Oryctolagus cuniculus: one gene and its partners. The protein of the gene in region 3 interacts with the protein of the main gene of each other region in a biochemical or structural test. Links are inferred from orthologs where the notes say so. Each region holds a gene or a part of one and is shown on either strand. Other genes may lie near its edges. The genes, in order: UBR7, USP51 and histone H2B type 1-B.

Region 1 (3,756 bases), on a different chromosome or scaffold from region 3:
GTACACTTGGAAAAGAATCTAAACATTTAGAAAGCATTCGGGAACAATCTCTATTTACCTTTTTGTGTACAACTCAAATAGTTTATGACTTCCGTGACATTCATAACTGCAAGCTAGGCAAATTCCTGCTGGTTCTTCTCCCTCTGGGGTGCAGGTACTACAAGCATATAGTGCTTGTCTCTTTACTGAGCCCTGACAGCACCAAAATAAAAAGGAAAAAATGAATTAATGACAGAGCATAGTTACTTAATACCTATACTAGGTTCTGAAACAGAATGAAAATTCCTGTGGGTAAGATATTCCTTTAAAAACCACAGTGACAGCTGAGAAAGTTTATACAACGGAGTTCCAAAACACCGTTGTGTGTTTCATATCTATATTAGTGCTTGTGTTCATCCAATTTTTTCTTAAAGTCAGAGGAAGTATAAATGTGTCAATCACCTGTGAATAGTTTGTTCTGCTTAATCATTTAACATATGAAAATGTCAGAGACAGTAAGTAAGATCATACTTTCAATTTTGGAAAATGATTGTAATTACACCAAGGAGAAAAATCAATGCATGCCAAGACTCTTTGGTTATTAGGAAATGCAGGTTGAAATAGTTAGAGATGTAGGGTCATGATGTCTGCAATCTATTTTCAAATGGTCCAAAAAGAAAGCAAAGAGTATAACACACAAAAGAGATGGGCCAGCATTGTGGGTAAGCCCCTGCCTGCTCCCATATCTGATCTGAGACCCAGCGGCTGCACTTCTGATCCAGCTCCTTGCTAATGCACTAGGAAAACAGTGAAAGATGGCCCCAGGGTTCCCACTCACATGGGAGACCCGGAAGAAACCCTGGGCTCCCGGTTTAGTTATGGCCCAGCCCAAGCAGTTGCTGACACTCATGGAGTGAACCAGTGGATGGAAGGTCTCTCTCTCTCTCATCCTCTCCGTTAACTCTTTCAAATAAAAAAAGAAAAAAAAAAACTTAAAAAAAGGAGAGAAATAAAACAAGTGTGGCAAAATGTTAAGCCACCACTTCAAAGACACCTGCATCTCCTGGCAGAGTGAGTCCTGGGTGCTCTGCTCTGCTCCAGCTCCCTGCCAACGTGCCTGGCAAAGCAGTGGAGGATGGCCCACGTGCCTGCATCCCGGCCATCCACATGGAAGCCACAAATAAAGCTGTGGCCTCTTGGCTTCAGGGCGGCCTAGTAGAGTTGCAGTCACTTAGGGAGTGAACGAACAGATGAAAGATCTCTCTCCGGTCTTTCAAATCTTTTATTTACAAAAAAAAAAATAGTTTCAAAGTAAAAAGCTGGAGGAAAAACGACGAATCTCGTGGCGTCTCCGTGCGATGACCCCCCTCTCAGAGGCGGGAGGGCGGCCCCTCAACGTCAGAATCGTCCTCTGTGGAGCTGGGTGTGGGGACAGGCCTGCACACAGGATTCGTGCAAATTCCCCTATGTTTTACTATAAGAAAAGGAACGGATGAATTTCTGTTTTAGGAAGCTAACTGTATTTCACAAACAGCTGACTTTTGTAAAGACTTAGGATTTTTTTTTTCCTAAGTACTTCTAGCGATGAGCAAAGGTTTAAATGCGAGCCAGCGTCTGGGGCCATCTCTGGGTGCCGGGTTGACCACGGTCAGCTCGGTCCGGTCAGCCAGGACAAGGGGTTTATGAGCTCAGTCCCTACCACGGAACGACTGCCCGGCGCTCACGCCAGCCCCTGCCTGGGTCACCCTCCTCCCACCTTGTCCGTTCCCTCCCGGCCCGCGCCTAGACGTCCATAACGAGGCCAGCACGCACGACATCACGCCCCCTGCGGTCCTGGTCCAGGCCAGGCAGACCCTCTTCCCCGGCCGGGACCACCCGCTGTCCCGGTTCCGGCCTTTTCCCGGCGTGGGGCCCAACGCCGACAGCCGCGGCGAGGAGCCCACCCCAGAGCCAGGGCGGCCTCCGGTGACGGCCCCGCTCCGCACTCCCGGGAGGGGTCCGAGAGGTCGCGGAAACCAGCCGAGGCTGCGAGGGCAGGGGCCGCAGCCCGCGAATCCTGAGGAGCCCGACGTGGCCCCGGGGAGAGGGAGGCCCCCGCGGGACGCGGGCTGCGGAGGGACGGGCAGCTGGGCCTGGCAGCGGGGCGGCCGCCCCGGGGGAGGCGGCAGAGCGGGCAGGACGCGGGAGAGTCGGGCCGGGAACAGGGGGTTCCGCCGGAGCCCCAGGGCAGAGGCCCGGGTCGCGCGCCCACCTGCGAGTAGGAGCACTTCTCCGAGTCGCTGCCGCCCAGGACGGCGCACGCCTCGTTCTCCAACTCCTCGTCCTCCTCGAGTACGTCGACCAACGACACCACGGGCTCCAGCTCCGACTGCCGCCCGGCTGACTCCTCAGCTCCGGCCATCCTCAACTGTCACCTGGACCGCAGCTCGGTCCCGGCGGAGGCGGGAAAAGCGGCCGCGAGGGGCGTAGCCGGAGGAGGCGGGGTCTGAGCGCCAAGAGCCAATCCCTAAGGCGGAAACGAAGGAAGGAGGAGGAGCGACTTCCCACCAACGGAAGTGGCTCGTCTGCCTTCTCCCGCCCGCGCTGGCCGAGGGCTGGCTTCCGCTTCCGGGTCACGCTGCTTTGTGGCGCGCTCTTGAAGCTCCGCGGTCGCCATGGAGTTGGTGGGAGAGTACGTGGGGCCGGACGGGCAGCCGCAGAGGCTGCGGGCGCCGTGTGAGTTGCCGGGTGACGCCGACCCCCTCGAGGGCCTGCTGGCGGGCGCGGCCCAGATGAGGGAGCTGGTGTCCGAGCTCTTGGGCCCGCTGGTGCAGCGGGAGACGCGGGACCGGGTGGCGGCGGCCGGAGACGAGGCCTCGGATGGTGAGCTCTGAGAAGGTGCTGGCGCGCCCGAGGGCCGGCGTGGAGGGACGGGGGCCTTGGGAGGAGGAAAGGGGTGTCTAGAAGTTGTTGGCGCTCGCCGCCCCGTTAGCTGGGCTGCCGGCCGCCTGAGCGTTTCCGCGACCCCCCCCCCCACCACGTTGGGGTCAGGATTTATTTTTCTGTAGAGGAGCTTCAACTACTTGGTTTCCGGTGGTGATAATAAATGTAACACTAATAAAAATAACGTAGCTGTTGGCTCTGATCAGAAATCGAGCGCAGGCGTTACGGACGTGAAGAAAGTGGAGGTCTTGGTCAGTGTAGGCGGGGTGTAAAATGGCGTACCCGCTGGGAAAACCGTGTGCTTCCTCAGAAAGCTCGTGGGAGACGGCGCGGTGTGGCTGCCAGCCCTCCGAGAGGCTCGCGCCGAACCTGGAGACGTCCCCAGCGGCCTTGCGCACAGCTGAGGCGTGGAAGCAAAAGATGGCCAGCAGCTGATCAGAGCCACGAGTAGGCAGGGGTGGCTGCACACAGAGGAGTAGTATTCAGCAGTCAAAAGGAACGAAGCGTTGATACACGCCACAACGTGGCCAAACCTGGACACCATGCAGGGTGAAATACGCCGGCACCAAAGGCTCATGCTGTGTGCCTGTATTTCTCTGAAATGTGCGCCATAGGCAAATCCACAGAGACGGGAGGTGGATCGGCAGCTGCAGGGGCTGAGGGGCCGCGGAGAGGAGCGCTCGCGGGTCGGGGGTCCCTTTTTGGGGTGAAGAAAGTACTCGGGAATTAGATGGTGGTGATGGTTGCACGAGCTACTAACACGCACTGAACTGTACACTCTCAAGAGTAAGTTTTATGGTAAATGACTTAAATCTCTCAAAAGAACGACAGGAAAGTTTAAGGGCTGAAATTCTG
Region 2 (2,635 bases), on a different chromosome or scaffold from region 3:
ACCAAGGTATGGACAAAGTACTTTGGAGGCACAGTGAAAGGGATAAAGTGGGGGGAGAGTAACAATTTTCCAACTTGTACCTGCCTCAAGCATCCAAGGAAGGCCCCAGGAAAGTCATCTGTTAGTTGGGTCTTGAAGGAGAAGTAGAAGCTACCAGGTGAAAATTAAGAAAGGGGCCCTGAAGGCTGGAGCTCAGGGACATAGGTAAGGCCAGGTAGTTGAGGAGCTCAGGGAACCCGGCATGAGTGAATGGAATAAGGAATGAGTGAAAGGATTGCCAAATACAAACCCACAGCTATACTGTTGAAATTAAGTCTTATCTCCCTGTGGAATGGGGAAGAGTAGTAGGTCCTCAGATACAGGCCCTTGCCACTTCCTCAATCAGGCCAGTAGACTCAAACACGAAAGTCAGCACTTTGTAGTTGTGCTCTAATTTGTATAAGCCTCCAAATTACCAAAAGCCCCTCTACAGAAGCTAAGAATTTGTATGAATAATGTAGTTCTAAATAGGAGAGGCTCTAATGTTTCCATCCTTCTTAGATGCAGTTGATTCTACCCAAGTAGCTCTACTTTTTAGGAAATCAGATGGGGTGAGGAATCTGAGAAAAGAAAGGTGGGCTAGTGTTCAGACCTTGCATCCATCTCACAATTCAATGGTAAATAAGGTTTAAAGTGTCTTTCCAAGTTGTATTTAAATATCAACATAAAACTCAAAAATATAAATATATTGACAATCCTTTTGCTATTCCTGCCTCTTCTATTTACTTTTTATACCCGTCTGTATTTTAATATGCTTACATAAAAAATAAAACCTTTTAAACTGTTTAATACTTTTTATATTTGAATATTTTTGTTCTATCATTTGTCAATTTCTATGTAAATGTTTTTCTTTTAAAAGTTTTAATTTTATTTTTATTCTTATTCAAGCAGTTTTCATGTAATTGTCTCAAATTGAACTTAAGTTTCTTTTTCTATTTTTACAACTCTATTTTTTCTTTAAAATTTTAAATTTATAACAAATTATCTTGAGTTGTTCTAAACTTCTTTTTTAAAACATCACTGTAGAATCTGAATTTTACTGCATTCTATATTTTGAAAGTTTACTTTTATCATGTGGTAGATCTGTTAATCTTTGATCTTTCTATATGGATACTTTATGCTTTCATTTTAAAATACCCATTTATATTTTCCTTCATTTTAAAATTAAAATGTAAGATTTCTCTCTTTCTTAAAGTGTTCCTTTCTCTTAATGTTTTTGTAAATTTTCATTTTTAACCTTATTCTTTGTTTTACTCATTTTACCTTAAAACCTTAAGAATTTCTAAATCCCCTGCTTTTAGACATTACTTTAATAATTCTGAAGCTCTCTTAAATTAAAAAAATATGTTTTTAAATTTCTTTTAAAAATATTTAACATAAAAGTTTTTCAACATGTAAAAATGTTTCTTTTAAAACTTTAAAAAATTGTTTTCTTCTTCTTAAATGTTTTGCTTTTAAAGGTTTTTAAATTCACTTTTAAAATATTCTCTGTTTTGCAAACTATTTGGCTGGTCAACCACAGTTGGAATGCCAATTATGAAGCTTTTTGCTGATGAAGGAATACTACTCTCTGACTTCCCACAATATTTTTGCAGAAACAAATGACATTTAGTAGTGTCAGAACATGTCTATTCCTATCCTTCCCCACCTAGACAATTTTTTTCATCCAATTATACTTCATGTGACCATTTTCAACCTCTTCACACCCTCTTTCTTAAGACTCAATTGTCACTACTTAGTATGCATTTTTTACCCCAAATGGTCACTAGTATTCATTTTTTCCTCCCACAAACCCATAGGTAATAATAAAATAGGTTCTTTACATCAAAGTCCTGGTTGTCATTTAGGTCATTGTCATTGTCCAGTCTAGATAGGTTTCTGTGTCACTTTAAGAGCTGCTCATTGTTATAAGGATATTATAGTCATTGTCTATTCCAGGTAGGTTTGTGTGTCATGTCAGAATCCTCGCTTAATCATTTTTTTTTTCTGGTTAAAGGTCTGGTAAGACTAGTCTTTCTCCAGACCCTGTTTGTGATAGAACAGTAAATATCCTTCACTGTAGAGTAAGTCCTCAATGGTAGCCTTGGTGATGATCGCATCATCACAGCTGAACCACTGGTCCTTTTGTTGACGGATAAAGCTGGTATAGTGGCCACTTTCCAAAGTTCCATGGTGATTAATCACTGCAAACAAGGAATACTTATTCTCATTGGACACACAATCTGTTGATGGCTGACACTCTTTCATTCTGCTCTCTTTAGTAGAGGCCAAAAATGGAGTCATGTCCAGCTCCAAGGGAAAGGAGATAAAGGTATTAATTTTACGCCTCTGTTTGCCTACATGTTCAAACCGCTTGAGGTGAAAACAGGCCACCATGGGTAATTTCTTCATTGTGAGCTGTTTGGTAGATTCCTGGTAGCTTTGGCAACTACTGCATTTGATTTTGGCACTGCTGCCCAGGTCCTCTGGCCTTGTAAACCACTGGAGGCAGTCTGTGAGTGAGGGGATTCCTGGTATGTGGTCAGCTCTGCTCATTGTGCTGTCAGCCATCTCTGTATTCTGGGGACTGAATGTGGCACAAGAGCCAGGCAAGTCC
Region 3 (2,873 bases):
AGTGGCGCGCGAACCTCTGGGAACCACTCCAGAGTCGCTCTAAAGCCACGGCACTGGCCAACCTCCGCCCCGACGCGCCCTGGCCCCTCCCCTCAGCCAGTGGCTGGCCGCGAACCAGGAAAGGCGCGGGATTCAGATCGCATCCTGACTCCAGCCAGTATCAAGGCTCCATTCTTGAGAAAAATCCGCCCCATCCAATAGGTGATCCATGGATTTCTGAAGACTCAAGGACTGCTTAGCCGACGTGATTAGTGGCTACAGGTAGGTAACAGGGAGAACTGCAGGAATTTCACTCCATTTCACTGTCGAGGAGCTGGAGATGTTAGAGGGGGCTCTTCAAAGCTCATGCGAACCCGAGTTCACGAAATGCGCATCTCCCATCACATCGCGAACCCCAGTCCCCGACCCCGACCAAAGTGCCCTAAGGTTACTCAGCGCCGACCTGCACGGGATAAACACGCGTTCTGGGGTCGTCACTAACGCCAGCCCTAACACCCGACCTAAACCCACCTCAACAGGAGCAAAATACAAGGACGTCGGCCACAGCTCTATTTGTGAAAGAGTTGGTGGCTCTGAAAAGAGCCTTTGGGGTGAGGGGCGGCGGCGCCAATTCGGGAGCTCACTTGGAGCTGGTGTACTTGGTGACAGCCTTGGTGCCCTCGGACACGGCGTGCTTGGCCAGCTCACCAGGCAGCAGCAGGCGCACGGCCGTCTGGATCTCGCGCGACGTGATGGTCGAGCGCTTGTTGTAGTGCGCCAGGCGCGAGGCCTCGCCGGCGATGCGCTCGAAGATGTCGTTGACGAACGAGTTCATGATGCCCATGGCCTTGGACGAGATGCCGGTGTCGGGGTGCACCTGCTTGAGCACCTTGTACACGTAGATGGAGTAACTCTCCTTGCGACTGCGCTTGCGCTTCTTGCCATCCTTCTTCTGCGCCTTTGTTATCGCCTTCTTGGAGCCCTTTTTGGGGGCGGGAGCGGATTTGGAGGGTTCAGGCATTGCTTTTAATATTGGCTGAGAGACTAAAACAGACTCAGTCTACAGCTGATTAGTGATGACAGGCCGGAGTGCATATATTTATAGTCCCGTAATTCAAATGAGGGTTTGAGACTTCTCACTTCTGATTGGACAACAAAGAAATTTTCTCTAGGGGGGTTGTTTATGCAAATAAGGTATCCGGGTTGTCTTTTCCTATTGGGCAGAAAAGGCGAACCTATTTCGACCAATAGGATGACGTACTGTAGTAGCCCTGCGCTGCTTATAAAAGCACAGTCTTGGCGGGTATGGTTTTCTTTACTTCAGATTGCGAAGCGTGTTTGGCTGTACCATGTCTGGGCGTGGCAAGCAAGGCGGCAAGGCGCGCGCCAAGGCCAAGACCCGCTCCTCCCGGGCCGGGCTCCAGTTCCCCGTGGGTCGCGTGCACCGCCTGCTGCGCAAGGGCAACTACTCGGAACGCGTGGGCGCCGGCGCCCCAGTGTACCTGGCGGCCGTGCTCGAGTACCTGACGGCCGAGATCCTGGAGCTGGCGGGCAACGCGGCGCGCGACAACAAGAAGACGCGCATCATCCCGCGCCACCTGCAGCTGGCCATCCGCAACGACGAGGAGCTCAACAAGCTGCTGGGCCGCGTCACCATCGCGCAGGGCGGCGTGCTGCCCAACATCCAGGCCGTGCTGCTGCCCAAGAAGACCGAGAGCCACCACAAGGCCAAGGGCAAGTGAAACCACAGTAAAGACGACGCAACTCTCGCTTTGAAATACCCAAAGGCTCTTTTCAGGGCCATCCACTGTTTCACAAAAAAGCTGCTAACCCTGACTGGAATTAGTCCTTCCCATGGTGATAGCGTTAGCGCTTAAGAAAACTGTGGAAACAAGTGAAACGTGTATTTATTGTGACGGATGAAAGGCCACACAGTGACGGGGGGTGTGTCAGTCGGGAAATAGCCCCCGAGGTGCAGCTGTTTCAAACGTAAAACGCGTTTTGCCTTAAGTCAGGGCACCTTTCCGTGGCTCAGTGTTTATCGGGCGCTATTAGACGGCAGGCCCAGGTAATTAGGGATTTCGGGGTCCACGCTAGGGCCTGTTACTGAGGTAATCTCCCTCCACGGTTAGGTACGCTTCTGAGATGGAATGATCCAGATGTTAGAAAACGTCTACCATCCCAAACGGACAGTGGATGAATCCGGCCAATCAGGTTGTCTGAGTGGACCAATCATCGAAGTTCCTCCTTTAGCCAATGAGTTTGTCGCGCGGATTTTTTGAAAATCCGGAAGCCAATCACAGTAGTCCTAACGATATTTAAAGGCAGCTCTGTCGCCGCAGACAAGAAGTTTGAGTCCCACCGGCGCGAGATGGCTCGTACTAAGCAGACAGCGCGCAAGTCAACAGGCGGCAAGGCGCCGCGCAAGCAGCTGGCCACCAAGGCGGCCCGCAAGAGCGCGCCGGCCACGGGCGGCGTCAAGAAGCCGCACCGCTACCGGCCCGGCACGGTGGCGCTGCGCGAGATCCGGCGCTACCAGAAGTCCACCGAGCTGCTCATCCGCAAGCTGCCCTTCCAGCGCCTGGTGCGCGAGATCGCGCAGGACTTCAAGACGGACCTGCGCTTCCAGAGCTCGGCCGTCATGGCGCTGCAGGAGGCCTGCGAGGCCTACCTCGTCGGCCTCTTCGAGGACACCAACCTCTGCGCCATCCACGCCAAGCGCGTCACCATCATGCCCAAAGACATCCAGCTGGCGCGCCGCATCCGCGGGGAGCGGGCGTGAATCCTGTAAGCTTATCGGATTCCAAAAAGGCTCTTTTCAGAGCCACCCACAAACTCACTTGAAAGAAGTTGTAATGACGTCTGGGTGAGGAGTGTCTCTGGGCTTCGTTTCT

What was found.
Region 1: of the proteins of histone H2B type 1-B (region 3) and UBR7, one has a biochemical effect on the other in vitro, tested with the Homo sapiens proteins (2 studies listed by BioGRID, with this or other methods). The link is inferred for Oryctolagus cuniculus from reciprocal best matches to the Homo sapiens genes H2BC3 and UBR7.
Region 2: the proteins of histone H2B type 1-B (region 3) and USP51 form a complex in vitro, tested with the Homo sapiens proteins (2 studies listed by BioGRID, with this or other methods). The link is inferred for Oryctolagus cuniculus from reciprocal best matches to the Homo sapiens genes H2BC3 and USP51.

Annotation. Positions count from the first base shown.
Region 1 is NC_091451.1:38,186,805-38,190,560, reverse strand, and holds the start of UBR7 (putative E3 ubiquitin-protein ligase UBR7), read right to left. Parts: upstream 2,581-3,756; 5' UTR 2,381-2,580; coding exon 2,231-2,380; intron 193-2,230; coding exon 59-192; intron 1-58. Other genes in the region: EKC/KEOPS complex subunit GON7, read left to right, coding at 2,634-2,841. UniProt on the Homo sapiens protein: E3 ubiquitin-protein ligase which is a component of the N-end rule pathway. Recognizes and binds to proteins bearing specific N-terminal residues that are destabilizing according to the N-end rule, leading to their ubiquitination and subsequent degradation.
Region 2 is NW_027208318.1:13,057-15,691, forward strand, and holds part of USP51 (ubiquitin carboxyl-terminal hydrolase 51), read right to left. Parts: coding exon 2,047-2,635; 3' UTR 1-2,046.
Region 3 is NC_091436.1:153,352,381-153,355,253, forward strand, and holds histone H2B type 1-B, read right to left. Parts: upstream 1,329-2,873; 5' UTR 1,001-1,328; coding exon 620-1,000; 3' UTR 564-619; downstream 1-563. Other genes in the region: histone H2A type 1-B, read left to right, coding at 1,329-1,721; histone H3.1, read left to right, coding at 2,351-2,761. UniProt on the Homo sapiens protein: Core component of nucleosome. Nucleosomes wrap and compact DNA into chromatin, limiting DNA accessibility to the cellular machineries which require DNA as a template.